Nothobranchius furzeri: one gene and its partners. The protein of the gene in region 1 interacts with the protein of each later gene in a pairwise test. Links are inferred from orthologs where the notes say so. Each region holds a gene or a part of one and is shown in the gene's direction. Other genes may lie near its edges. The genes, in order: golga2, lypla1, cyb5r2, yju2, mcm7, histone deacetylase 4 and zbtb16a.

Evidence for each region.
Region 2: the proteins of golga2 (region 1) and lypla1 interact in binary tests that used the Homo sapiens proteins (3 or more experiments, as listed by UniProt). The two-hybrid records come from large-scale screens. The link is inferred for Nothobranchius furzeri from reciprocal best matches to the Homo sapiens genes GOLGA2 and LYPLA1.
Region 3: the proteins of golga2 (region 1) and cyb5r2 interact in binary tests that used the Homo sapiens proteins (3 or more experiments, as listed by UniProt). The two-hybrid records come from large-scale screens. The link is inferred for Nothobranchius furzeri from reciprocal best matches to the Homo sapiens genes GOLGA2 and CYB5R2.
Region 4: the proteins of golga2 (region 1) and yju2 interact in binary tests that used the Homo sapiens proteins (3 or more experiments, as listed by UniProt). The two-hybrid records come from large-scale screens. The link is inferred for Nothobranchius furzeri from reciprocal best matches to the Homo sapiens genes GOLGA2 and YJU2.
Region 5: the proteins of golga2 (region 1) and mcm7 interact in binary tests that used the Homo sapiens proteins (3 or more experiments, as listed by UniProt). The two-hybrid records come from large-scale screens. The link is inferred for Nothobranchius furzeri from reciprocal best matches to the Homo sapiens genes GOLGA2 and MCM7.
Region 6: the proteins of golga2 (region 1) and histone deacetylase 4 interact in binary tests that used the Homo sapiens proteins (3 or more experiments, as listed by UniProt). The two-hybrid records come from large-scale screens. The link is inferred for Nothobranchius furzeri from reciprocal best matches to the Homo sapiens genes GOLGA2 and HDAC4.
Region 7: the proteins of golga2 (region 1) and zbtb16a interact in binary tests that used the Homo sapiens proteins (3 or more experiments, as listed by UniProt). The two-hybrid records come from large-scale screens. The link is inferred for Nothobranchius furzeri from reciprocal best matches to the Homo sapiens genes GOLGA2 and ZBTB16.

The regions. Positions count from the first base shown.
Region 1 is NC_091746.1:54,872,945-54,876,444, reverse strand, and holds part of golga2 (golgin subfamily A member 2), read left to right. Parts: coding exon 1-63; intron 64-189; coding exon 190-408; intron 409-1,758; coding exon 1,759-1,872; intron 1,873-2,052; coding exon 2,053-2,277; intron 2,278-2,687; coding exon 2,688-2,784; intron 2,785-2,985; coding exon 2,986-3,077; intron 3,078-3,500. UniProt on the Homo sapiens protein: Peripheral membrane component of the cis-Golgi stack that acts as a membrane skeleton that maintains the structure of the Golgi apparatus, and as a vesicle thether that facilitates vesicle fusion to the Golgi membrane.
Region 2 is NC_091747.1:46,195,701-46,199,851, forward strand, and holds the start of lypla1 (acyl-protein thioesterase 1), read left to right. Parts: upstream 1-1,351; 5' UTR 1,352-1,596; coding exon 1,597-1,665; intron 1,666-1,801; coding exon 1,802-1,833; intron 1,834-1,928; coding exon 1,929-1,994; intron 1,995-2,100; coding exon 2,101-2,148; intron 2,149-2,242; coding exon 2,243-2,313; intron 2,314-2,388; coding exon 2,389-2,462; intron 2,463-2,770; coding exon 2,771-2,872; intron 2,873-3,096; coding exon 3,097-3,273; intron 3,274-3,358; coding exon 3,359-3,418; 3' UTR 3,419-4,151. Other genes in the region: mrpl15 (large ribosomal subunit protein uL15m), read right to left, coding at 1-62, 339-496, 617-721. UniProt on the Homo sapiens protein: Acts as an acyl-protein thioesterase. Hydrolyzes fatty acids from S-acylated cysteine residues in proteins such as trimeric G alpha proteins or HRAS.
Region 3 is NC_091744.1:84,976,166-84,980,398, forward strand, and holds the start of cyb5r2 (NADH-cytochrome b5 reductase 2), read left to right. Parts: upstream 1-1,433; 5' UTR 1,434-1,552; coding exon 1,553-1,567; intron 1,568-1,741; coding exon 1,742-1,897; intron 1,898-2,356; coding exon 2,357-2,429; intron 2,430-4,233. UniProt on the Homo sapiens protein: NADH-cytochrome b5 reductases are involved in desaturation and elongation of fatty acids, cholesterol biosynthesis, drug metabolism, and, in erythrocyte, methemoglobin reduction.
Region 4 is NC_091758.1:25,015,582-25,019,869, reverse strand, and holds the start of yju2 (splicing factor YJU2), read left to right. Parts: upstream 1-1,488; 5' UTR 1,489-1,619; coding exon 1,620-1,643; intron 1,644-1,890; coding exon 1,891-1,991; intron 1,992-2,650; coding exon 2,651-2,795; intron 2,796-2,895; coding exon 2,896-3,030; intron 3,031-3,110; coding exon 3,111-3,292; intron 3,293-3,380; coding exon 3,381-3,528; intron 3,529-3,803; coding exon 3,804-3,969; intron 3,970-4,056; coding exon 4,057-4,178; 3' UTR 4,179-4,288.
Region 5 is NC_091741.1:79,972,599-79,976,593, forward strand, and holds the start of mcm7 (DNA replication licensing factor MCM7), read left to right. Parts: upstream 1-1,195; 5' UTR 1,196-1,306; coding exon 1,307-1,337; intron 1,338-1,736; exon of another isoform or gene 1,737-2,529; intron 2,530-3,008; coding exon 3,009-3,088; intron 3,089-3,312; coding exon 3,313-3,477; intron 3,478-3,578; coding exon 3,579-3,703; intron 3,704-3,775; coding exon 3,776-3,956; intron 3,957-3,995. Other genes in the region: cohesin subunit SA-1, read left to right, coding at 1-47, 137-224, 423-473. UniProt on the Homo sapiens protein: Acts as a component of the MCM2-7 complex (MCM complex) which is the replicative helicase essential for 'once per cell cycle' DNA replication initiation and elongation in eukaryotic cells.
Region 6 is NC_091754.1:47,244,973-47,248,909, reverse strand, and holds the start of histone deacetylase 4, read left to right. Parts: upstream 1-1,137; 5' UTR 1,138-1,699; coding exon 1,700-1,814; intron 1,815-3,937. UniProt on the Homo sapiens protein: Responsible for the deacetylation of lysine residues on the N-terminal part of the core histones (H2A, H2B, H3 and H4).
Region 7 is NC_091750.1:30,346,090-30,349,589, forward strand, and holds part of zbtb16a (zinc finger and BTB domain-containing protein 16-A), read left to right. Parts: intron 1-2,357; coding exon 2,358-2,528; intron 2,529-3,500. UniProt on the Homo sapiens protein: Acts as a transcriptional repressor. Transcriptional repression may be mediated through recruitment of histone deacetylases to target promoters. May play a role in myeloid maturation and in the development and/or maintenance of other differentiated tissues.

The DNA.
Region 1 (3,500 bases):
CAGAAAGCTCTCGCTAGTTTACAACAGGAGAAAGATTCTTTAACGGCACAGTACCAGGCTCAGGTAGGCATCAGGTTGCTTTATCTGAAGATATTGGTCCATAAATCAATTCAATGTCCCATCATATTTTAGTTTTTGGTCATTAGTGAAGGTTTTGGTTCATCTGAACCCTCTGTATATTTCCACCAGCTTCGAGACAACGAGCAGCTAAGTCGTCTGTGTGCTGAGCAGGAGGCTCGTCTGGGGGAGATGGAGCATCAAGTGGAGAGCCAAGCCCAGGAGGCAGAAGACCGCCGCCGCATGTTGGAGGATGTTCAGTCAGACAAGGCCACCATAAGCCGGGCTCTCACCCAGAATCGTACGCTGAAGGACCAGCTGGCGGAGTTGCAGAACGGCTTTGTCAAACTGGTGAGGCTGAAATTCTGACCTTTTATTTTGTTGAATTACCGTAAATCCTCTAATACAGGCCCGGGCCTGTATTTGACTCAAGCTCATCAAGCTCCAGGCCTTTATTGGAAGGAGGACCAGAATTAGAGGCAGGCCTCAATTTCTATTTGAGCAAAATGAACTAATGGTTCGCTGGAGTTTTTGGCAATTAAAATTGCGCCCACATTTTCAAAGTTAAACACATTTCTTTTAACAACGGTAGTTTCTGCTTCCGCCCTCTCCCCCCTCCCCCTGCGCAGCGGCCGCAAACTCACTGATGCGCCTGCAGCCTCTCAGAGTTCCTGCTGCTCTAAACATTAAAATAATTATTTCATTTTCTGTTCCTCACTTCTGATTACCTTCAATGGTGTCTGTTTGTTGCAACCACCAGGTACAAATCTAACTTGTTTTTATTTGACTATTTTTCTGTCCTGTCTGTTTATTATCTTCCTGCATCTCCTCTCAGTCCTAAAGAAAAACTGCTACCTGGGTTCATATATATATTCACCTTATGAGTTACCTTTTGAGCTGCAGTTCTGAAAGATCTACCGACCGCAAAAACAGCGGAGTGCTCGCTGCTTGGCGGCCGCATCAGTGATCGGTGCGTCACTGGATGACAAGGTGATGCGCCCCGCTCCACAGCGAAACACATCAGGCGCAAATAAAAGACAGAAAACATTAAAGGAAATGAACTGACATGAACAATCGCGTGTCAGTACCGACGCTCTGGCACAGCGCGTTGCCCCCCCCCCCCCCCCCCCCCCCCGAGCGCAGGAGCTTGTCACCTGCTGACAGCAGGCTGCTGTCTTTTCCGAGGGCTGCATCTTGACGGTCATTTTCATGTGACAGCGACTAGTCGATGACAGGCATAAGTCCCTATAGTGAAGTCGACTAGTTCATACAACCCCTATTGCTCCCCAGTGTTCTGCAGCATAATCAGCACGTTCTCTTTGAACTTGATATCAAATTTTCGCCTCCTCTTCATCTCCGCACGGTTAAAGTTACCCTCGCGGTCTATCACTGGCAAATCAAAAGTGAGACGATGACACAACCGCCCCCTGTACTTGCTTGTTACCACATTCCACCCGGCCACAATAAGAGACCGGCCATTATTCACCTCCGCCGACTCCGACACCGGCCAAAATTGGAGACCCGACCTTTAATTGAATACCAGCCTTTATTAGAGGATTTACGATATGTAGTTCCTCTTTTTTCCTCTTTCAGTGATTCCAAGAATTTTTTTTTGTAAGTTTGTCTTCCTTGATGTTCTTCTTTTGCGTGTGTGAGTTTGTGTCATTCAAAAGATTAAAATCAAATTTCTTCATCATGTAGACCAACGAGAACATGGAGCTGACCACTGCCATCCAGTCAGAGCAGCACGTTAAAAAGGAGCTGGCACGCCGGATGGGTGAACTTCAGGAGGAACTGCACAACATCAAAGAGCAGGTCATTTCACTGCACTTTTACACTAATATGAGACAAAACTAACTCATTTGTCCTGTCATTAGTTTATAATGTGCACCACTTTTCTGCAGCTTATATTAACACAATTGCAGATGGAGGTAGGGCTTAAAAGGATCTTCTACATTGTGGTGCTGACATCCTTTTGCCTTTCTTTTCCTCCAGCTGGAGCTGAAGGGTCAGGAGACTCAAGGTCTCCTAGAACAGCGAGATCAGCTGGTGGCCCATCTGCAGCAGTACAGCGCTTACTACCAGGCTCTGGCCTCAGAGAGAGAACGGATCCACCAACAGTATCTGCAGCAGAGCCAGCTCATGGATCGGCTGCAGCACGACGAAAGTCACAGCCGTGCACAGCTGGACATCAGCCAGAATCAGCTCAAACAAGCACAGGTACATGCTGTACAAACAACATCGTCTTATTAAAACAACCATGTCCAGTTAAATACTGACCTTTTATTTACATCAAGTCTGTGGGTGTCAGGCATCTGACGATGACTTTCATTTCCTATTTTCATTGTTATTGGGAAGATTTGTCATTTTATTACCATGATGTCTTCATAAGAATCAATTGTCAGAATAAAAGGAGAAATTAGTCAAATAAAATCCTATTTGTTGCAACAAAATGTTAAAACACAACTGGAATATTCCGTGGAATAAATCAAAGTGGTAAAAATGCATATAAGACATTTATGTCCTTTTTTGATTTCTACTGTTCTGGTTTTTACCTCTTGACCACTTTCTGATACCAACACACTCACAGGTGTTTGTATCTGAGTGATGTTGTGCGTTTGCTGTTGCAGGAGCATTTGGAACAGTTGGTCAGAGACAACCAGCAGCTCAAGACGGAGGTTAAGGAGCTGCTTAACAGCTCGGCCCTTGAGACGTTCAGAGACCAAGGTGTGTTTTCTTCTTTCTCTGTGTGTGTCCTCACATTAGAACAATGTACCGTTGACTTGATGAAGATTCCTGAAAATTCAGTATGATCTACAATAGCAGCAATGCTGAACATCTCCATGTAAAGGAGCTTTGTAGTTGTTACCTGGGGTGTTTATGAAGGGTCTTTGTGAAGTGTTTGATTTAATTTTCTGTGTAATTTAGGAGATGGAGTGGAAAATCAATCGGAGCAGGAGAGCCCTAAACAGTCCTCATCCATTGTCATTCCAGAAGACTTTGAGAGCCAGCAAGAGATGGTAAGATGTCTGATAAACTCTTTTCTTTGTTTGTGGATCAATATAAAAATATGTTCCAAGTTGTGAGGATGACACTTATCTGATATACTATACATTACACCAAGAGGGCAAACATGTTGGATCAAGTAGCGTCAGGCTGCTTTTTAACTCAGTCGCTGCCAGCCGTTTCCTGATCGGTAAAGCCTTTCACTGCCAGCATTTCTCACCGTTTTTTTTTTGAGTCACAGAACGTTGCACGCTAGGATGATGTCAACACCAAAACAACCAAAACAAAGAGTAGACTCACCTCTTACATCAGGAAGAATCTGTGCGTTTCGAGCGTTATCTGTTCTTTCATAACCCGTTGTTGAATTGTGATCGGCAGAAGCTTTTCCGGTTCGTGCATCACTTTTTTTACAGCAGCGACCCAAAACAATGTCCTGA
Region 2 (4,151 bases), on another chromosome or scaffold:
GGCCCAGATCAATCAGGTACTGGAGTCGTTTCAGGGTCAGGGGCATGTACTGTGGACGCCGGCTAGGAAGAACAAATAAAACAGAAAAATAACATGACTTAACTCCCTATCCTGTTTGTGATGTATTTTCTGTGTAGTGCAAAAATGCTTTAAGGGTGATAGAACAGTTTTATAAGCTGGTGGGTTACACAGAAATATCAAAAATTAGCCCAGAATTAAGCTATTTATGAGTTCTGCTGCCTAATAAACGTACTGCTTTGTGATCTTTAGATTTTTAAATGATAACTTCCTGATCTACTGATGTGTGACAGATGTAAACCACGGTGACGAGTTTGCACCTGTGTCCTTCGTTGAAACCATATTTTGGTATAACCAGATAGAAGGGGGTCTGCCCTCCCTCGAAGCCCAGCCGGGGTCTGTTCCCCCTCTGCCGCTCTCCTTTGTGACCTCGGCCGCTCCTGTTACCGCCGTGCTGTCCTCTACCTCGTCGTCTCCCCTGCAGACCATTTAAACCACATAAGGTTATTTATCACGTTTACTAACCTCCATCTCTATTCAGATGCTAGTCATGTTAGCATCAGTGCTAATGTAGCCCACGAGACCGGATCAAACGTACCCACTTCCAGGATCCTGGCTCAGGTCGTAGGTTTGCTAAAGTGATCCGCGGCAAATTCTGTAAAACATCCAAAGCTTTACTGCCGGTTTTCTTAGTAACAGACATGTTTCTGCAGCTCACATGTTAAAGTTAGCAAACCAAGGGCAAACTAATCACGTGACTCCACCACACCGGAAGCTATTTCACGGTGGAGTGATGTTTCAAAATAAAGGCACGATACTTGGAATGTCTGGAAAAAAGTGAAGTTTGTATGCATTTCAATATATGAAATATAGCAATTTTAAATGACCGTTTACTTCATTTCTGAGCAACACTAGCTAAAAAAAATGTACAAGGTCTCATGAAAAAGTTGCTGCCGTATTGTAATGTTGCCACTAGATGACGACAAATCACAAGAAAGACCAATCAATGAGATTGGAAGAAAAATTATTATTGATTATTTTAAAATATGCTAAAACATTCCACTTTTAAAAACTATTTATAAATACTATTTAACAATATTTTTTCCGTATTTTCTTTGAATTTATTATATTTTATTGCTAATAAAACAAAATAAAATTATTAAATATACAATAAAACAATTATCAGCAATACAGAAAACAACAACAATAACAGCATGTTATAGTTTATGTGCGAACCTCAAACTGACATTTAAGCGGACCAGTGGCTGATCGGCAGTTAATTGGGGTGCTTTTGAGAACCAATCACTTAAATCAAAGGGCGGGGCTACAAATCCTGTCACAGCAGCTGGCATGGTGTGCTGCTAGCAGCTTCTGTCAGTCAGTGCCACGACTAATTTCTGTCTAAACTAAACTCCCAGAAAGGACAGGACAAGAGACGGTGAAGCGTTGACCTCCATCGTCTGACGGAGCTCGTTCTTCAGTTGCTGTGTATCTGGAGGCCTTCACTTTTGTGTTATATTGCTGTTAGCTACGAAGAGCTAACTTGTTAGCTAACTTGTCCAGCTGCCTCAGCGCTGTATGTGCGGCAACAACATGTCAGCTCCTTTACCTACCATTGTGCCTGCTGCCCGAAAAGCCACTGCAGCGGTGAGCTGTCAGCTCATTTAGTGCTTTTTAGATCAAATCCCAAACATTAGCATGGAACTGCTAGAAATCAGAAGCTGTCGAAATGTGATATGTGTGAACCTCTGTCAGTGAAAATAAGTGTTATTGTTATTTATAGGTCATATTTCTGCATGGCCTTGGAGATACGGGGTGAGTAAAGTAATTAAGTCATTTTTTTGCATTCACACTGCTTTGTCTGTTTAATTAGCCGTTTTATACTGGTTGTTTTGGGTGAAACCTGACAGGCATGGCTGGGCAGAGGCTTTTGCAGGCATCAGAATACCACATGTGAAATACATCTGTCCTCATGCGTAAGTATTTAAGGTTCACAACGCAAGTATTTGATGAGAAAAGTCTGATTTCAAAGCCTGAGTCAAGATTTATGCAGCTTGCTGTTACAATGTCCCTTATCCACAGCCCCACGATGCCCGTCTCTTTGAACATGAGGATGTCCATGCCTTCTTGGTGGGTGATGCAGTTTAAACACACATTTCCGATGACTTCAGTCATTTCCAAATCCTGCACATAATGATTCTGCTGCGTATTTTCTGATTTAAAGGTTTGATATTTATGGGTTGAGCCCTGATGCAAATGAAGATGAGGCTGGCATCAAAAGAGCATCAGAGAACCGTAAATAAATGTAGAAATCTTTGTGCTTTTATTTTTAAAGTTTATTTTTTAAATTATTTTTTTATTTCTCTGCAGTTAAAGCTTTGATAGATCAAGAAGTGAAGAATGGAATACCTTCACACAGAATTCTCCTGGGTGGATTCTCTCAGGTACGTGAGACATCTTTACACACAATGTGTTATTTAACAGTTGGCCATTCACACCTACATGATGTCCATCATTTGATTAATTTATTTCAAACGTACAAAACCCACAAAAATATATATAAGATATTAAGAAAAAAATTTCTGGCAGCCAACTTTTTTTTTTTACTATATTTTATGATGTTCACTGCATCAGATCTCTGGAGTAGTTTTCCATGCACTGGGGGTGTTAAGGGACCTTCTGCCTGCATATAATTTAACGTTTGTTGTCTCTTTGGATAAAAATAGTGAGAAGGACTAGTTTGTTTGTCCAGGGTGGAGCGTTGTCTCTTTACACAGCTCTGACAACTCAGCAGAAGCTCGCTGGAGTGGTCGCACTAAGCTGCTGGCTTCCCCTCCGCAAATCCTTCCCTCAGGTAGGACAGAAACCAGCACAAACACTGCTTCACGAGTCATGCAGCAGAAATAAACAAAGGCAATCTAACAGAAAAGTCAAAAGTAGAAGCTGAACTACATTTAAAACATGAATGAAAAGCACCGTTCAATAACTGTCTCTTTAATGGAATCATCCTGCAGGAACGTTCAACATAATCTGTCATAATCGGATCATAAAAACAATCCTAATCTCTTCTATTTTCAGGCGGTTGTCGGCAGTGCAAACAAGGACGTGCATGTCCTGCAGTGCCACGGGGACGCCGACCCCCTGGTCCCTTTTATGTTTGGCACTCAGACATCAGAGAAGTTAAAAACGCTCATCAACCCTTCAAACGTCACCTTCAAGTCATACCGGGGTCTACCTCACAGTGCCTGTCCCGAGGTCAGCCTGCAGACTCTCATCTTACTCTTAGTGCTCTGATTGTCATTCCTTTGAATTGTTAAAATGTCAATTTGTTCCTCTGCAGGAAATGATTGATATCAAGCGTTTCATAGAGAAGCAGCTTCCTGCCATCCATGACGAGTGAACGAAGAGCATCCGCTCACCAGCTCAGAGCTATCGGAGTCCTCTGACTCCTGTGAAACAAGCTGGACTCGATAACAACAGACTTTGTCGACAGTAAACCCGTGCTGCTGCTACTTAGATTCAGACAGAACAGAAACCCATAAGAGGAGTGACTGAGCCGATCCTGCATCTGACCTGGAGCCACACACACACGACTCAGAGTAACTGTAGTTGCTTGATTGTCAAGCCTGTTGCCATTGAAACATGCCATTTTGGCAGGAAAAGTATGTATTATGATCATTAGGGCTATACCTTTTAGGTTTCTCGAAACATTCTCACAATAAATGGCTTGTTAAATGTTTTTAATAGTCTGCAAGCAGGTTTGTTGGTCTGCCATTTAACTTTAAAAGCTTAATGCATGAAAGAATTGGGCAAAACATTTCATTTTTTAAACATTAATTGACAGCTTTTTGTGTAACTAGTAGGAAAATAATTTTATATTTTTACTATTTTATTAAGTAATTGTATAATTTATTAATAACAAATCGGCACTTGACACATTAAGTACTTTACTCCTCCACCAGAGGGCAGTATAGGACATTTATAAGAATTGGATTAGTTAAGGACTAATCCGGTTTAATTTAAAATAAATGTGTTACATAAAGAGATTTTGTGATTGTTTTAAGAAATTTGCTTTTAGCCTGGATTTTTTTTCCCTGTTTTAATAAAAATCAACATTAAATTGGCACAAACTG
Region 3 (4,233 bases), on another chromosome or scaffold:
TCCAGGTTCTGATAGAGTCTAAGCAGGTGTGTAACAGCTGCAGCTTAGACATCTCTTACTGGTGGTTTCGCGATCATCTAAAAATAGGATGGGAGGCAGATCTTTTAGTCATCAGGCTCCTCTCCTGTGGAACCAGCTCCCAGCTTTAGTCCACGAGGCAGACACCTTGTCTACTTTTAAGACTAGGCTTAAAACATTTTCATTTGATAGTGCCTATGGTTAAATTCTGATGTTAGCCCAGGTTTAAACGAATGGGGGAGTAGAGGGAGCTGGAGTGTACAGCAGCCGAATACAGGCGGTAAAGACGGTTCTCCCTGGCCCTGCCTGCCACATGCCTCCACCTAAAAGGGTGGGTTATCTTCGAAGTATGCTGCTATAGGCTTAGACTGCTGGAGGACATACTGACCACTTTCCACACTCTGCTACTTTCTTCTATCACTACTCTCTAATTGCATTATTACTTGCGGCTTCAGATGTTAGCTTTATTTTCTTTCTTCCTTTTGTAATATTCAATCTAAATGTCATATATAAAACTATTAATTATCAGCTTCAGATCTATAAATACCACACTTCATCTAAGACTCACACATACACACACACAAGGTTGAACGCTTCTTGTAGATTCTTCCAAATTAAAATATACATTTTAGAGTTTACTGCAGTTTATAAATTAGTGCTAACAGCATAGCTAGTCTACTGCCCTCTAGTGGATGATCCACAGATTGGGAAGGCACATTTCACTTTGTTAAACTTGTATAATTGTTTAGGATTTTTTTTAAGTTATAAAAAGTTGAAGAATTCTTAAAATAACTGAAGTGGTAATGATTTTTTCTGACCAACAGGTACTCGTTTTTCTAAAAAAACGAATTAAAATGTTTTACTTTGAGCAGAGAGAGCATCAAGCTGGTGAAAGAAGAACCATTGCAAGTTTCTATTACATTTTTATGCATTGATGCTTTTCTGTTAGAAAATTTTTTATTCAGAGCTCTGATCAAAAACGAGTCAAGGACCTTAAAATCAATTTTTTTTAAAATTTTGCATCTTTAGACTTTTTTTTGTTTCTTTTAAACATTTATATTGCATTAATTTCTAATAATGCAGAGATTTAGTGGAAGTTTTAAACCAGCAGGTTCCAAAGATCCACCAGTTTGGATGATTATTCATATTTTCTACACTGATAAAATTCACTCTTGAGAGCTTACTAGTCACATTAGGACGTGTACTGGTGTCCGCTTCTTCCAAACTGGTTTGATCACGTCTTGCTGAGGGTCAAAGAACCTCTCCTCCTCCCCTCTTATCAGTGGTGCCATTTCAAGACTGGTCTGGCCTCCTGAGCACCACCTCCGAGTCAAGCGTCACCGTCAGACCTGCTTTTTATTGGTGCTTTGGACCTGTCACCTTTTCCCCAGCGTGAGCCTTGCCCCCTTGTGTGTGTGTGTGTGTGTGTGTGTGTGTGTGTGTGTGTGTGTGTGTGTGTGTGTGTGTGCCTGCGGGCTCCTCATTGCCTAGACTCTGGTCTTCTGCTCTGTCACGCTACATTTTTTGCTCAGCTATGGAACTAACCTGGGTGAGTACAGGTCTTTTTTTACATTAAATAACATTTTATTATAATAAAATTTTTGACTTTGAATTAAGTTTTTGTTATTTAGCTGCAATAATGCTTCAAATCCTGTAAAAATGTTTGGTTTTCTGCAGAACTGGACCACAGCTGGTCTCATTTAATGTGACATTTGTCCTGCAGACAATCCCAGTAGTACTGGCCCTGTTTGTTGTGGTGGTGACGGCGGTGTTCGCCCTCTTGAGAGACTCTCCAGAAGAAAAGAAGAAGAAGAAGAAGGGGCCGGTAACTCTTCAGGATCCTATGGTGAAATATCCTCTTCCTCTCATCAGCAAACAGGTGAGAAGCAAACAAAGCACCTTAAAGAAGCTCCACACTTACATCAGTCAAAGAAGAGGTAAAACTACCATAAATTAGAAGATGACTTGCTTCATTTTTTGAAAATTCAATGCAAAGCGAGGACATTAACAACTTCTATTGGCGGCATTCTCAGGTTTGCAGCTGCCAGAAATCAAATTAAAGTCACACACAAGGTTTAGTGATGCCAGATGATCAAATTTGTTTCTTTAGAGCCCTTGTGACTCGTTTTTGATGAGAAAACACATTAAATTAATATGAACATAATTTTGGATCCTGTATTTGAGCGCTTGTGGCAGCTGCAGGAGGGGCTAAAGGCTGCAGCCTGAGCCGAGGAGCTTTAAAACAGGTGGTTTTCATTTAATCATGTTAGAATAAATAATGACTTTAGCAGAAAAAAAGATGGGAGTCATCTTCTTGTTTGTACATTTCTGTCTGCAGGAAATCAGCCATGACACCAAAAAATTTCGGTTTGGCCTTCCGTCTGCGTCTCATGTCCTTGGACTGCCAGTAGGTAAAGAAATCCCTCATTTATTGCATAAAATGTAAAAATATGGATTTTATTTTGTTTCTTTATTAGCTTATAAACAAAAGTACAACAAACAAAAAAATACAAACATACCACAAAATATTTAGTATTCTGTTAAAAGCTGAATTAAAAACAAAATCATATTTTTTGTTTCTAATCCAACTTTAAGTTTCAATATAGCAGCACTTCCTAACAACAATAGTAGCTGGTGGAAATGTGTTTGATCTGAATTCAGTTCAGTTTATTTCTAAAGCATCAAATTCAATTCAATTCAATTCAAGTTTATTTATAAAGCGCCAAATCACGACAACAGTCGTCTCAAGGCACTTCACATAATAAACATTCCAATTCAGGTCAGTTCATTAAGCCAATCAGAAATAATGTTTCCTATATAAGGAACCCAGCAAACTGCATCAAGTCACTGACTAGTGCCAGTGACTATACAGCAACCCTCATACTAAGCAAGCATGCAGCGACGGTGGAGAGGAAAACTCCCTTTTAACAGGAAGAAACCTCCAGAGAATCCTGGCTCAGTATAAACAGCCATCCTCCACGACTCACTGGGGATCAAGAAGACAGAGCAGACACACACACGCACGCACGCACGCACGCACGCGCGCACGCACACACACACACACACGGCAATCACGGCAAGAGTCGTCTCAATGCACTTCACTAAGTAAACAAGATTTTACAAGATACGCTTGTCAAGGTGCATCTAAAATGAAGTTGTTGTTTGTCTTCTGAGTTAAGAAGAAGAAACAATCTTTTATAGTATCTCTCAAGATCAAAACCACGAGGCGCCTAAGAACAAACATTCAAAATTAATATATAAAAATGATTTTAAATCATATAATTGGGAAAAGTAAAAATTGTGAGTAAAAATGTGAGGAAAGTGAAAAAGAACGAGAAAGAGAGAATCAGTAGATCCCGGCTGCAGCAGAATTGGTAGAAAGAGCAGAATAAGGAGAGGGTGGTGATGAAGGTCACACCAAAGCCTGAACAGGTGAGTCTTCAGCTGCTTTTTAAAGGAGACCACTGAGTCCACTGATCTCAGGCTCAGGGGGAGAGAGGTCCAGAGTCTGGGGGCCACAGCAGTAAATGATCTGTCACCTTTGACCTTCAGGCTGATGTGCTGCACAACCAGTAAATGGAAGACACCAGGAGGTCTGTCATTAACTGCATAGACACTAAAGAGATACTTTACAACTTATTCATAATTTTAAATAATTTTCTTCAGCCAATATGTGCTAAAATGACCCTTTTCAGGTTTAAGGAAGTGTCACTCAAATCCCCACTGTGGCCAGAAGACTGCATTTGCAACTTCAGAGTGCCCGTCCAGCACCTGTTACTCTTAGAAACAATTGAGCTGACATACCTGGCACTGCAGTCTGCTTCCAGCCTGTTTCCTGCTTGTTTTAGATCTTAAACTCGGCTGATTTGCTTCATTTAGAGATGAACCTCTCCCATAGACACGAACGAAGGCGGAGGAGCAGTTAGATTAAGGTGTTAAAAAGATGAACCCACTTGAAGGAGATTAAGTTTCACTTTTGCTTTGACAACAGCTATTTACAACGGACACTAGGGGGTGCTAAAAGCAAGCAAAACTATCAAGTGTGCCGCACCGATCTCAGCTGCCTGTGGCAATCGCATTTCAAATGCGGCCTTTGCAGGGTCTATTCTTTTTAATATCAATGAGTAGCAGGAAGTTGTTAGCCACGGCTTTAGCTTCATGTAAACCCGGAGTTCCCGAATGGCAAGACAGCACCGTCCAAACTCCAGAGTGAGT
Region 4 (4,288 bases), on another chromosome or scaffold:
AGATAGATAGATAGATAGATAGATAGATAGATAGATAGATAGATAGATAGATAGATAGATAGATAGATAGATAGATAGATAGATAGATAGATAGATAGATAGATAGATAGATAGATAGATAGATAGATAGATAGATAGATAGATAGATAGATGGTGGTGCAGTTGTTAGCACTATTGCCTCGCACCACAAAGGTCGCAGGTTCGAAACTCGTCTGCGGCCTTTCTGCGTGGAGTTGCCTGTTCTCCCCATGCATGCGTGGGTTTCCTCCGGATACTCCGGTTTCCAAACAGATCACAACATGCCCTATAGGTTAAAAAAATTGTAAGTCGTCTGCTAAGCACATAAACAAAGATAGATAGCTTTTTTTATAAAAGGCTTTAAAAACAGCCCAAGCTGACCAAACACACAAGCAGCAAAACAACCAGTGTCTAATATTTTATGTCCCTGCTATGGAATGTTTAAAAGCAATAAACATCTTTATTATTTTCTATGATTGTCTCAGGGAAATCAGTCTCTATCCGACTCACTGATGAATCATGTTGATCACAAAGCTGCTTGTGACACAGACATAAAGCATCAAAGATATAATCAGTTATCTGGGCTTGAAGCAGGCGGATCTAAGCAGAGATGTTCTGTTTAGCTCTTCAAATACCCCATAGATTGTTTAATTAACATGAACTCTTTTAACCTTTTTAAAGCTTAAATCAGATCTCAGGTCCACACTGACACCAACCTGTATTCAAGATCCAATTTCCTTCTGCACAGATAAACTTTAACCCCTGAACAGTGTTTGACCACCAAACCATTGCAGACACCCCTATTTCTGATGCATAGGGAGAAGCCAAAGGTCATGACCTTCTTCACTGTCTCCAAACAAAGACAGATAACAGAAGGAAGCATGGTTTCTGTACATCAAACAATGACGCAGGCTGATCTAATGAGATAAAGTTTGTCCGATTTGTTTTGGGTGATTTATTTATTACCTAATTCTGAAATGTGTCTGACGTGCCTTTTGGGTACCCAGACGTATTCCAACAATTTGGGATGTGTTAAATGCTGAAATGTCGACATTTTTACATTTAATTTAAAAAAATCTTTAAATCCTTGTTATACGTTTTGTAAATCCCAAATAAAACACATTCTCTACACTCACCGAGGTGTTTTGCTTAAATAATCACCAAATGAAATTATTTTATTTCATGCCAATGCCAATCCGACCAAATTATCTTTCTCATTCCTTTTCCCCCCAATTTCCCTGATTTTTATTATCATCGTTTTGAATCTTTTATTTTGTTTGTTTCTTGTGAAGCGCCTCGTGATTTTCATCTAAGAGCTATATTTATAAAAACTCCTTTCTTCTTCTTCTTCTTCTTCTTCTTCTTCTTCTTCTTAGATATGTATATAAACGAGTAAACACGTGTTTGTAGTTTATGTTTCCATGGACATGATATCTATGGTCGTCGTCGTTCCACAAGGGGGCAGCATCGCCTTTTCAAAGGCGGAAGTGACTAAACAGAGAAACCGGAAGTTTACAGTGCTATCACTAATAGTCAACGTTGCGTACTAGTTTCTAAACCTTTAAGATATCTGTACTTTTTATCACTAACAAAAGTAAAAAATGTCTGAAAGAAAAGTTCTGAACGTAAGTAATCATAACAGAGTGATGTTTTTACAAAGTGGATCAGAAACAGAGTAATTTCCGTCTTAATAGATAACGAGAACAAGCTAACATTAGCAGTGTTGATAAATAAACGAGACGTGTTGACGTTTGTAACTTTTAATGAGCGTAACCTATAATGAGTTTTGGATTAAAAAGTTTTTTTTAGATTCATTACATGTTTACGGCTTTGTCTCTGATAATTATTTAACTTCTGCTTTTACTTCCACAGAAATATTACCCTCCAGACTTCGACCCGTCCAAAATCCCTAAACTTAAACTCCCAAAAGATCGACAGTATGTGGTCAGATTGATGGCTCCATTCAATATGAGGTAGGTGTGTAAATGAGTGCGTTTAGTTTCATTTGGTGGGACAATACAACCACTTTCAGAGCATGATTCCTACAGTTTGATTGTTTCTTCACACAAAATCTTTCTTGTTCACATCTTGACTGTGTTTTTACTCCTGATTTTGGTTACTATTGTTGTCACATGATGTTTTTATTGGTTTGAGGTATTTGCCCTGATTTTACTCATGTTGTACAGCGCTTTGTGATTTATATCTGTGAAAGGCGCTACGTAAATAAACTTTACTTACGTACTTACTTACTTACTACAAAATGTATACAATAAACTCAGTTGTTAAGATTAAACGTAAAGGTCTAAGTTTAATTTTATAAATGAACACTTTTCCTTCTGTGGCAAGGTAGAGAAACGAGGGCCCGGGTGGGATTCGATCCCCAGACTCCCAAGTGAGAGTAACGCACGCTAAACAGTCAGCCAAAGCCCTTGGTGAAGTAGCCAGGGCGCATGATCAGTCGAGACACTGTGACAGGACGCTCACACTGCCACACTTCATTTATTTAGTTTGTTCCCCTATACGTCTATTTAAATCAGAAATCCTGGTTCATTGTGTTTAGGTTAAAACCTGATTATGCTTTTTTATATCAGACTGAGGTTTCTTAATGAGATGTATGCATGTTTAAACGCAGGTGTAAAACATGCGGTGAGTACATCTACAAGGGGAAGAAGTTCAATGCACGCAAAGAGACTGTCCAGAACGAGCACTACATGGGACTGCCAATCTTTCGTTTCTACATCAAATGTACTCGATGTCTTGCTGAAATAACATTTAAGGTGAGGTATTATTATTGTCACAATAGCACTGTTGCAAGCTGCTTTTACTGTTAGTAATCTGCTAGTAACATATCCACATACGCCTATGTTTTGATTCTAGACTGACCCAGAGAACACGGATTATGCCATGGAGCATGGAGCAACACGCAACTTCCAGGCAGAGAAACTTATTGAGGAAGAGGAAAAGAGAATCCATCAGGAGAGGGAAGACGAGGAGCTAAACAACCCCATGAAGGTTGGTGTTTTAAATGTTTGTTCTTGTTTTTCAAATTAGTGTTCTGAACAGTTAAGTAATGTTTCCCTAATCCCCTTCAGGTGCTGGAGAATCGCACTAAGGATTCCAAGATGGAGATGGAAGTTCTGGAAAACCTCCAGGAGCTGAAGGAGCTCAATCAGAGGCAGGCACAGGTGGACTTTGAGGGAATGATTGATCAGTACAGAGAACTGGAAAAACGGGAGAAGGAAAGAGAAAAAGAAGAAGATGAGCGTGAAACAAAGTGAGTGAGAACGGCTCGTGTATCATTTGCACGTCTAAATGAAAAGTCTGTTTGCTTCTTTGCTAAACATTCAAATATTGCTTTGCAGAGAGATGTTGGAGCGGGTGCTCGTGAAAAGACTGAGAGACTCCGACTCTGATTCAGAAGAAGAAGAGGAGAGCAGCAGCCAGTCAAAGACTGCTGGTGCAGACAAGCCGACAGATATCCTCACCACTGATAAACACGAGGAAGCACAGGTTTGTACAGAGTCTCATATATGTAAAATATTGGGTTATGGCTTATTTTGGCTGTTTTTTAAAAGTTATTATATAAATATTAAAAGCTTAGTATTAAAATCTTCAATTTCTTTATGTAGTTAAAAAAAATCTAAGTTTGATTGTAGAAGGTTTTACATCATTTTAAAAGACTGACATGGGTGGAATAAAGCTTCCTACAGCTCAAAATGAACAAACATGACAAAAACCAAGCTGCAAGCAGCGAATAGTGGAATATTTGATGCATGTTTCCGCAGGGGTCCTCATCCGGGGGCGTGAAGAGGGCTAAGGTAGAGAGCTGGGAGAGGAGTGTTGGGACGCTGGGAGGCAAAGGAGCTCTCAGCTCTCTGGTAGTACGAAAGAAACCAGCAGCGATGATCAGAAAACCGAGTACAGAGGAAGCTCCCCCTGCCTCAAAAACAGGTAAAATTTTTGTGTTGACGATCATTCTAAAAGCTCAATAGCTTAATTATTAATCTTTTATTCCACATTAATGTAATTTATTCACAGGTTCAAAGACATCAACAACCGACACCACCAACGCTTCTAAAACCGGCGCCACCCCAAATGGGTCATCATCTCTCAGCCTGCTGGGGGCGTATTCAGACAGCGACAGCAACGAAAGCGAGTGACTGAAACCCGGCTGGCACAGAAATAATGCAACAGGGAACATGATGGAATAGAATTATTTAGTGAAATTGTGTAATTATTGGTGGGTGTGTATTAGAAGACATATTTACAT
Region 5 (3,995 bases), on another chromosome or scaffold:
TCTGCACCCCCTCACGAGCAGGAGGATCTGAATTCCCACCTCACCATGTAAGACTGGTCTAGAACTAAAGGGAAGATGGTTTTTGTGAATAACGTTTTAACTCTTAAACAAGCTAATTAATCTGTTTGCCACTTAGGCTTTCTCTGATAGAGGATGACATTTCAGAAGAAGAGGAGCCTGAGATTGAAGATTATGAAAGTGACCTGGAGTCTGGATACACACTGGTAAAACAGCAATACTGATAGATCTTAGCTTTAGTAATTTAGGATTGATTTGGATAAAGGAAAACTTTGAAGATCTGAGTTCAATTGGGATTTGTGGAGTTATAATACAGTCTGAAGACTTGATTTAAAACTATGTGAATAAAATAATTGTATTCCTGGTAAGATTAAACAGTCAGTCTCTCCATTTTCCCCCTAAAGCCCTCAACACGCCACACCTCTGCCAGTTTCCTGGATGAGCTCTTTGAGTGATGTACTGGAACGCTTCCACCATTTTCAGATGCCATTTTTATGTTATCAGTGTTTGAAGTATTTGCATGAATTGAAATCTCAGCCACCTGTTCATCCCTGTGACTACATCTTTATCTTCATGTTATCTGACTTGCTGCAGTTTGCCATTAAATGATTGAATTGTTAATGTTCTGATGAAAAGCAAAAACTGATATTAAAAATGTTTAGTACAGTTATCCGAATGAAAGCTAAAGCTACCTATTTTGAACACATTTTTGCTTTGTTGATGTGTTTTTTATATAATTGTTCATAAAAAGTGAAGTATTATCGGTTCGAAGTCTGTAATAAAATGGAAAAGCGAGTTAGTGGTGACAATTCATTCCAAAATTGATCATCATTTTACTCCGTTTTTGAGACACTTTTGATGAGTGTTTCAAAGCAGCCTGTGTCTGCATGCACTCTGCTGTTAACGTGTTGAGTTGTTTGTGTGTAACATACAATAAATAACACCCATTGTGATGAGTTGTGTTGTCTTTAGAACATTTCGCGCCATTAGTGGAAAACCCCGGCGGAAGTTTTCATAACCATGTGACACGCAGCTTCCTGCGATTTTCGCGCCACCAAAACGTCCCGCCCATACTTCGTGAAAGATGCGACGTGATTTGCTGCTGGCCGAGGAGAGTGGCGCCAGTTTCTACTCTTGAGACCGGGAGAAGTTCTGGCTGCATGTGAATGAATTCAAGTCTCCGGTGCAAGAAATTTGCTAAACTCTTAAGTAAAAACCTCGTTTAGGTACGTGGGCACCTCAAGATCTCGTTTTCAAGTTATTCGCCTGAACATCAACGTGTGCTGCCATGGCTCGTAAAGATTATCTGGCAGAGAAAGGTAAATAGTTGTCTGTGTGTGTCAGTAACAGCATGGGTGGTAGCAACAGGTTGGACTGAAAGTCTTAATAAATGTTACCTATATGAAGTATGTGTCTTTCAGAGTTGAATTACATGTTCATGTCCTGTTTCAGTAGTTTACGTCACTAGCGTTTTTAAATATTGCCATTTGAGTTAGATAGAAAATTACCATTTTAAATATGTGTACGAATATGCGTCATTTAGCAGCGATGTAATGGAAGTACTAGTTAAGTATTTCACAGTGAGTTTGTTAACGTTGGGTCGTCGGTAACCAGTTTAGCGTTGTCTGCTCTTTACTACCCGGTGACCCGGATGGATCCTTAAACAAAGGAAACAGGCGCCACTGTGCAAGCACATCCGGGAACGCGCACACTATCAAGACGTGTAGAGTACATAAGTAGTCAAGGAACGAGTGCAGACAGTCGGACCTTTCAAAAACTACTTTTGCAAAGTTATACTCTATGCTGTCGACGTGTGTCGGTGTAAAATAAAATGATTTAGTTTAGGGGTAATCTATGTGGTCGGGAAGTAAAGGAAAATCCTTCACCCAACTATGTTGTACTTTTTGTCAAGTGTCCGTTAACGCACCGTCTGGGCTATATTTTGATTTTACAGGGTTGAACAGTGCTGTTAGCTTTTTCGTTACTAGCTAAAATGAATTTTAATACTGATATTTGCTTCCAGCTTATTCGTTTTCAGCATAAACGATTATAGCTTTGGTTTATGTTGATCACTCACATGGGTTTGGAAGGGCTCTGTAGCAATATGTGGTGTATTAATGAATCGTATACACGCGTAGTTCCTGAACGTAGTCGTGTTCCGAGTCTAATTCAGCGAACGCACTAACCAGCAGCAATTTCTTAGTCGTCATAAACGTCTCGTGGTAAGCATTAAGCAAACCTCCTCTCGCCGCTTAGTGATTCTGTCATCAGGACATTAGAAAAGGCAGCGCAGCTGCTGCGTTCACAACTCTAAGCTAACCTGGGCTAATGTTAAAAAATGGCTGGCCACGGTTTGAAAACAACAACCGGGACTGGTTCTAGGAGCGGAGGAATCGCGGAGGGATATCTCCAGTGACTGGGCACAAAAGCCATGTGCTGCTTTGTTTACAATAACATCCTCGAACATGGAAATAACCCCACGACGCAGCAAATTTCCTCTACGGCGGTAAAGTAAGTGGAATATTAAGTTCAGTTCGAAGGCTTGTTCCGTCGCCCGTGGCGCCTAGTTAAATATCGTTGGTAGTTGTGGCTCCTTCGAGAAGTGAGGGGGGATATTTACCAGAGGAAGGGGAAAAAAGGACCGAACTGAGCGCGCCTGTTGTGTTTACGTTCCCACCCCGGGGCCATACGCTGCGTAGTACTTGTTATTTCACTCTAAAACTAGGAGACGAGACTCACATGAGCGACATTCGCTCCATGTTGAGCCCCAGTGACAGTTTATGTTGAACTGTAGCAATAGTGACTCATCGAGATTACAGGATGCCGTGTTACTCAACAAAGGGGGGCTCGTCGTAGGACAACAAACTAGCTCCCAGTGTGCAGGCCCTCTGCTGTTGGGTTTAATACTGCTATTTTAGGAAAGGGACATATGTGAACGTGGCCTTTTTATTTAGTCTTGTAAAGTGGAGCTGTTGTGTTTTTGTTTTCAGAGAAGTGCAAAAGGTTTCTGCAGGAGTTTTACACGGAGGATGACGATGGGAAGAAGGTGTTCAAATATGGAGTGCAACTTGTGAGTATAGTGAATGCTTTTTACGGAAAGAGGTTTTGTGATGTAATTCTGTTTATCTTCCTGCTTTGACAACTAGTTTGTGTTTTGTAACTAGGTTGTTTCTTTTTTGTCTCGTCGTTCTATATCGTAGTCATTTGTTGTTGTTTTTTTGTTTTTTTTTCTCACAAAAGCACATGTGTAATTGTTTTCTGAAGCTTGACTAATTATTTGTTTTGTGTGTTCAGGTGCAGCTGGCCCACCGGGAGAAGGTGTCCCTGGTTGTTGAGCTGGAAGATGTGGCTGAGGAAGACCCAGATCTGGTTGAGAGTATCTGTGAGAATGCAAAACGCTACACAAACCTGTTTGCTGACGCCATACACGAGCTGCTGCCAGAATACAAGGAAAGAGATGTATGTAGATCTTAGTTTTGAGTACATTTTTTAAATCCGCTTCCAGTGCATTTCAGATTTTTTATCTGAAGGAATTCTAAAAAGATACATTTTGTGCTTAGATTGTGGCCAAAGATTCCCTGGACGTGTACATTGAGCACAGGCTGATGATGGAGCAAAGGGGTCGTGATCCGGCCGACACCAGAGATCCACATAACCAGTACCCACCTGAGCTCATGAGGAGATTGTGAGTAGAACCAGATTCGTAATTTTCCTTGTGTGTTGGGGCTTTTTTCACTATAGTGGCTTGTTTCTGCAGTGAGCTCTACTTCAAGTCTTCCAGCACCTCAAAACCCAAAGTGGTGCGTGATATCCGGGCTGACAGCATTGGCCATCTGGTCACAGTCCGAGGCATCGTGACCCGCGCCACCGAGGTCAAACCGATGATGGCTGTAGCTACGTACACGTGTGACCAGTGTGGTGCTGAAACCTACCAACCAGTAAGATCTGGTAAAACCACTCAAGTTTTGATGTAAGAT
Region 6 (3,937 bases), on another chromosome or scaffold:
TGACGTGGCTCTCTTCTAGTTCCTGAAACGGGTGCGTTCATTCGTAATAGACACCGCTGCAGATACAGTTTACATGAGTAAACTACCACTTTACTTTGGGTGAATAATTTGTACCACATGAAAAGTACTTTTTCTTTCTTTTATTCAAGTATTGTATCATAGCGTATACAGATAACACCATACCTGTTTGGTATCGACTTTACCAGGTTTTAGTGCATCATACATCAGCTTCCTGCTGCCTGTGAGGAGACGGATGCACGCACAGAGACGAGTTTCATCAGGACCAAACCTGACCGCTGCAGCCATCCAGGCAGGGTGGTGTGAGACCAATATCCTCTAGCTTCCTAGATAATAAAAGTGTGTGTGTGTGTGTGTGTGTGTGTGTGTATTTGTGTGTGTTAGCGTGTGTGTGTGTGTGTGCGGATGTGTGTGTGTGTTAGCATATGTGTGTGCGTGTGTGAGCGTGTGTGCATGTGTGTGAGCATGTGTGTGTATGAGCGTGTGTGTGTGTGTGTGTGAGCGTGTGAGCGTGTGTGTGTGTTTGCATGTGCGTGTGTGTGTGCGTATGTGTGTGTTAGCATGTGTGTGTGCGTGCATGCATGTGGGTGCGTGTATACAGGTGTGCGAGCATGTGTGTGTGTGTGTGTGTGTGTGTGTGTGTGTGTGTGTGTGTGTGTGTGTGCGCGCGTGTGTGAGCGTGTGTGTGTGTGTGTGTTTGTGTATGCATGTGTGTGAGCGTGTGTGTGTGTGAGAGCGTGTGTGTGTGTGCACCAGTCTAGTCCACAGAGAATTCCAGAAATAGACCACGGATGGTGAGACTCTCGCCTGTTTTTCTCTTTTTTTCCCCTCTGAAGGGATTTCTCGTTATTTTTTAAATCTCAAACCCGTGTTTGTGCTGATGTCTGTACACTTTATGCTCAGAATGTAAATAGATAAATAGGTGTGTGTGTGAATACACGGACCAGGTGCTGTAGAACTATAAATGCTCACAGGATGCAGAGTGAGAGAGTTATTAGTAACAGATTTAGGAGGAGGAGATGGATGCATGTTGATTGTTTTTGTGCCCCCCCCCCCCCCCCCCCAGCTTTTTATAGCCATGTCTTCCCAGGGCTCAGCAGCTACAAAAGCCTTTTCATGTTGCCACTATAATTACAGCCTACACACACATGGACATGCATGCATACACACACACTCGCTGGAGCAGCGTCTTTGTGTTGGTGTGTGCGTGCTCTGCATGTGCAGTTATACACAAAAGGGTGAGCTATTTTTACCTCCCTCCCCTCCCCTCCTCTCCATCGCCTCCTCATCCCTCTCTCCGCCGCTGCTGCTAGCCACATTTGCTATGCTGAGCACAGGCGCTATCAGTCGAGCGCCAACATCTCTCCAACTCGCTCACAAGCGAACACACACACTCACTCTCACTCACACACACCAGCTGACGAGCGCTCCCTCTGAATCCCGGCTTATTCTTTAGCTCCGTCCGAGCATCCCTGCAGACGCGCCTCAGCGTTTGCTGCTCATGGATCAGGAAGCAGCTCAGGGGCTCGGAGGTGCACAGCGGCATGTGCTCTCCACCGTGCAGATGACCTGAAGCCCCTCTCTCTCTCTCTCCCTCTCTTTCTCTCCCACCTTCTCTCTTTCTCTCTCCGACTGGTTTTAACCGCCTGATTAGCAGGTTTGTGGCTGGAAGCCCGGCTCAATGCTGCGGACCATCTTTGAAGCAGAATGCTCTCTTTCTCCCACAGAGGGAATCCTGGGAAAGGAGCCGCCGCTGGAGGTCCTCAAGACGTCGGCGCTCAACCACATCCCAACAGGTTGGTCAATCTGTGTGTGTGTGTGTGTGTGTGTGTGTGTGTGTGTGTGTGTGTGTGAGTACGTGATGTTACTATCAACCACATCCTGTGTGACTTTGCTTTTTGGATGTGAGCGAGCCGGGGACACACCGTCTACTTGACCAGGAGACACCATGTTTACATCCCCAATGTTTTATTTAAGCCGCTCCGGTGCTGCCATTTTGCTGAATGAAAATCTGGAACTCCGAATGTTTGCGCGCACGCACGCACGCACACACACACACACACACACACACACACACAGACACACACACACACACACACACACACACACACACACACACACAGCTAAACAAACCCATTGTGCCTCTCAGTCAGTTCCTGAGTCCGTTTAATGTTCCCAAAACAATCTCTTGCAGCTCCCAGTGCTATAAGTTCCCATTCCCAAGTATTCCTGAATGCAGATCCATGTTGTCCGGTAGAAATTGTACAGGAAAAGTGAGGATGAGGAGAGTGGAGCAAAACCAGAGGGGCACAGATAAGGAAGGATAAATTGGTGTTGGGATAGTGCATCCCATAATTCTGTAATAAGGAAGCTTAAACTGCTCCCAGCTTTTGGTTTTTTGCCTCCCAGGATGGTTGGGTGAGTCTAATTCCTAATTCTGACTCCCAGACAGCAGCCAACGCTCCAGCACGCTGCCGTTTCTGCTCCTAGGTTATTTTTGTTTTCACTTCCTGCTCCTGCCTCCGGCTCAGCTGATAAAATATTGAAATCCACCAGAGCATCTTCATCTGATATTCTCAGAATCTGTTGTCTTGGCTACGAAGCTGCTGGGTGGCATGTGACCCGGACCGCTTCTCCTGCACGGAGAGGAGGGTGAAGCCATCTGGGAGTCTTTAAAACGCCCTGCAGGTGAGGATCACACCTGCAGAGGCCTCCTGAACTTTAGCTCTGTGTGTGTGTGTGTGTGTGTGTGTGTGTGTGTGTGTGTGTGTGTGTGTGTGTGTGTGTGTGTGTGTGCGCACTCCCAGCACGGATCCTTTGCGTAACGCCGTTGTGTGATGTCATTAGAAGGGCGACCACCCCCCCGCCCACTGCAGCTAAAACCTGATTCTACCTGGACAACAGATGAAGTGACTGTTGGCTGCAGGACTTTTCAGAATGAGCCCTCATCTGTGCCACATCCATTAGGGCCTAAGGGGCGGGGCTTAGGCAGTCGGACCGTGGGACCCGGGCTCCACGAACCGGGCCTCCAGTCAGAACCGCCAGCCCTCGACATTGTCTGGTATAAATAGATTCACAGCAGGAGCCAGAAGAGTTGTGGAGAGCGCCGGAGGGGTCGTAAACAGATTGTGATTAGTTTGTGGAGTGTGTGTGTGTGTGTGTGTGTGCGTGCGTGTGTGTGTGAGTGTGTGTGTGTGTGTGAGTGTGTGTGTGTGTGTGTGTGTGTGTGTGTGAGTGTGTGTGTGTGCGTGCGTGCGTGTGTAGGGGGGGGGGGTATGAAGGAGTGCAGGGGTGTGCAGAGGAACCCGCTGACAGGAAAGGTCGCTGAGTTAAAGCAAACGAAAAAGCTGTCAGAATTCCCTCTGAAGGAGATTCCTTTGAATCCCGATGCCTTTTAGAGATTCCCTCTGATCCACAAACGCTCCGATCAGACTCGCAGGAGAAAAAGAAAGTGAAGCGTGTGGATTCTCTTCCCTCTGAGTCTGAGCTAAATCAGGCTGCAGATCAAAGAGGATCTTTTTTTAGACCCCCCCACCCCCCACCCCCCCACACACACCTGTCATACAGGTAAGTCTGCCCGTTGTGTAATGTCTCTGGAGCCCCCGCCCCCCGTTTGGGTCGGATGGCGGCTGCCCTCATGTCGTCCTTATCTCACACACATCAGTAAACTCCAGCTCTGGCTTGACGTCAGTGCTCTGAGACAAAGAGGTGTTCAAATCAGAGTCTATCTGTTTATCAGCGAGGCTTCTGATTGGCTGGGACGTCTGCTGTGGTAACAAAGTTCAGGATGTCTTCAAAAGCAGAAACATCTTCTGATTGGTTCTCATTAGGGACTTTAAGACTGAACCCTCAGGCTCATCCAGACCGATGCAAGGAGCCCTTCGAGACAGAAAAGAGACATTATGAGAGCAAAGGAACC
Region 7 (3,500 bases), on another chromosome or scaffold:
TACTTTTTAGGGAGATTGTTATTTTTTTATCAAGCCTACAAAATCTGGTCATTAAATCTTAACCTGGAATATTACATCAATCTCTTCAGTGAGACTGAAACATGGTCATCAGAAAATAAATTTCTACATTTTTGAAAGATTAAATCAGTCAGCACATTTGGGCCTCGCGTACGCCTCTAGAAATGTTTTCTGCTCTAATAGGTGGCAAGAAATACTACATTAATCATTTTTAATATTTAAAAAATAATTAGAATGTTTTTTTATTGAAGAGAAACCGTTTTTTTTCTTTTACTTAGGTTAAGTCTGATCAGACACGGAGTTAAAAATGCAGTCTAGATGTGAAAATAGTCCTTACCTGCTGATAGAAAAGAGAGGCAATGCTGAGATGAGAAGTTCATGGACTCGCCCATCTTAACTCGGGACAAGGAGGGATGATGCCTCGGCCCTGCCCCAGTTTTTTCAACCAAAGAAGGACTGTGTCCTCGTCAGCAAGGCGATGTCTTGCTCAGCCAGGCGCCTTGACATTGAGAAACACCCTAGTGTCCAGGAAAGAGCAGAGGGTGTCTCGGCTTATAGAAGCTCGCCTTTAGCATTAGCAACGCCACAACAGGACAGAACTCCTTCATGCTCGTGTTATTTGTGAGGATAAAACATCAACATCACAAAGCAAACACAGTGGTAGAGTTGAGTTGCTGTTAGCCAATCAGAGGCGAGATGTCAGATAATCAGGAAATAAGACTCCGAATCCCGTCGTGTTCTGCTCCCCACTGAACTGGCTCACGTTCTTCTGGAGCGGTTTTCCCGAGGCATCTGTTTATGCTAGAGACCGCATCAATAGTGTTGAATAAACTAAACTCAGTCTTTGAGAATTGGCCCAAAATTCTGATTTATCCAATATTATTTAAAATTTCCTTTCAGTTATTCACCATTTCACACACGACTGAGGTCCAGACATGTGGAATTGTGGCATCAACAGGTCTTCTCCATGCCGTGTGTTTCTTCAGTTCAGCGACTAAACCAGGTGATTTCAAGTGGAGTTGACTTGCTGACGCCACATTTCCCATCTCTGTTATGGTCTAACAAAATAGAGACAAAAGTCTAAAACTGGCTCTGTTTTTGTGTTTAAGGCACAAAGTAGTGGCGGCCACGCTCTTCTGAACGTCCCAAACAGTTTTCACACTAACCGAGAAGTGCAACCGCAGCTGAAAATCCTCTTTATTTGGAATATTGTGGATGGAGTTTATGATCACAGCTAAAAATCTCAGTTTGGAAAACTCTTTCAGACTAAAGATGAACAAGTTGGAAAAACGGTGGTTTGGCTTCTGACCAGTAGTCCTGCATCATGCTGTGAGAAATATTCTGAACACCGTTTGATCAGGTGCTGTTAAATAATATCTGCACCACCGTGTTGCCTGTATGAGACCGAGTCGCTGGATCTGTTGGAAGCTTTTCAAACACAGAGGACCTAAAGATGTTCCACTCATGCAGCCTCCTTTACTTAGAGAAGATATGAAGTCCTGCAAGATTTGAGTCTTCCTCACAAACTAAAACTCCCGTATTTACCTGCTGCCACCCCTCCTCCTATGACATCTACCCTCATCATTTGCGTTCTTCAGCATGTAGAGCTGTGGAGACAGTGCTTGGTCTGGTGTGAGCCCTCCTCCTCCTCCTCCTCCTCCTCCTCCTCCTCCAGTGGTTATGAACATGAGGCGGTGCTGCTCTTCATAGATTTTTAAATTAGTGTCAGCGCTGGCCCAAAGATGTGTTATTGACTGATGAAATAGAAACTGAGCTCCAAACACTCGGTCCTTCCCCAGAGTTCTCCCCCAGCCTGGTAATTGAAAAAGTGTGAGGGGAGTGTGTTGAAGGCGGAGTGCAGCCCTGCGTGAGTGTCTGTGACTGTTTGTGTGCTCTTCATCTCTGCTGGAGAAAAATGCACCGTGCTCGCTTGGAGTCGAGACTCGATTGAAGTATTGCATAGGAGATCTTTATCTCTGCACCCCCCCCCCCTGAAACATGAGAATTGTGTACAACTTTAATCCTATAAATACAGGATGCTTCGTGTGAGTCTGCAGAGGAAGTGAGTGAGATTTAAAGTCTGCCTCTGCATGCACTGTTGAATATCCTGTGGCTTGATCGCTGCGAGCGCACACACAACCTCGTGTGATTCAGTTAGTTATCACTGTGGCTCGGTAGCAACACGCTGCTGGGAGATTTAGCAACCTTGGCTCGTTCCAGAGCGACGTTTTCCTCTCAGAAGTTGTGATTGTTGAAACAGGAAGATAAAAAGAAAGCTATCAGACTGTCGCCCAGCATCTACCTCTAATTAACCTTTGTCGTCCTCCTTTCCTGTGCAGGGTCAGACATGGCCATCTTTTGTCTACTGTGTGGCAAACGTTTCCAGACCCAGACAGCACTGCAGCAGCACATGGAAGTGCACGCCGGCGTCCGCAGCTACATCTGCAGCGAGTGCAACCGGACCTTCCCCAGCCACACCGCACTCAAACGCCACCTCCGCTCGCACACAGGTCAGTGGCCTCGCCCGTCATCCGGCCTCACGGTTTGGTCTCCTCCAACTATCAGAAATGTGGTTTTTCAACTTGGTCTGCTGGTTGTCCACAGAAGATGTTACACGTGATCTTTTTCTTGAATCCGTCTGCTTCAGCTAAACAACGGGCCTTTCTTTCTACGACACGAGCAGCGACAGCTCATCCAGAGTCTGTGATGTAAAAATATGCACAATATACCTTTACTTACTTTCAATGTGTCACTGTTGCTTTTCACCACTCTCTCATTAAACAGTGCATGTCCCCAACAAACTCACTAACATCACTCCCAGCCCTGAGCTGCTGTTAAACAGCCAATCACACATGGTTGCTAGGGAGAACTGGAGACTTGTTGAGAAAATCACCATCGCTGAGTTTAAAGAGCAAACTGCAGGTTAATTTTTTCTAATTCATATAAAATGCTGTCCAAAAACATCCTGTTTGAAATGGTTATCGTGGATATTTCACTTTAAATACACAACAGCAGTTTTCTAGTAGAAAGTGTTTTTTCTCAGCAAAGCGACTAAAAGGCTCGTGTTTCTAAACGTGAACCTCTGACGTAACCAGAGGGAGTCGGACGCTCGGCTGCCTCCGCTCGGCGTGGAGAGCGGCTAGTTTAGGGTAGAGAGGTCATGTGATCCAGTCAGTGTGTGTTCACTGGTGTTGGTTGTGCTCATGTTGGTAAACTAGAGTGTGTGTGAAGGCTGCACCGACGCCAGCCCGTCTGGACATCGAGTCCCCGGGTTTCCAGATCAGAGAAACAACCTCTCTATCTCCGTGCCTGAGGAAACGACGGACTTCTGTAGCCCGCATCGGTCGGTACCGGGTCAGAAAGGTCCGCGCTGGGCTCCGGAGACCCCGTGGTGGGGTTTAAAAAATTAAATGTGGATTTCTGGAGCTCAGATCACCATCAGAACCAGGTCAGAACCGACCACCAGAGGAGATGCGCGGCTC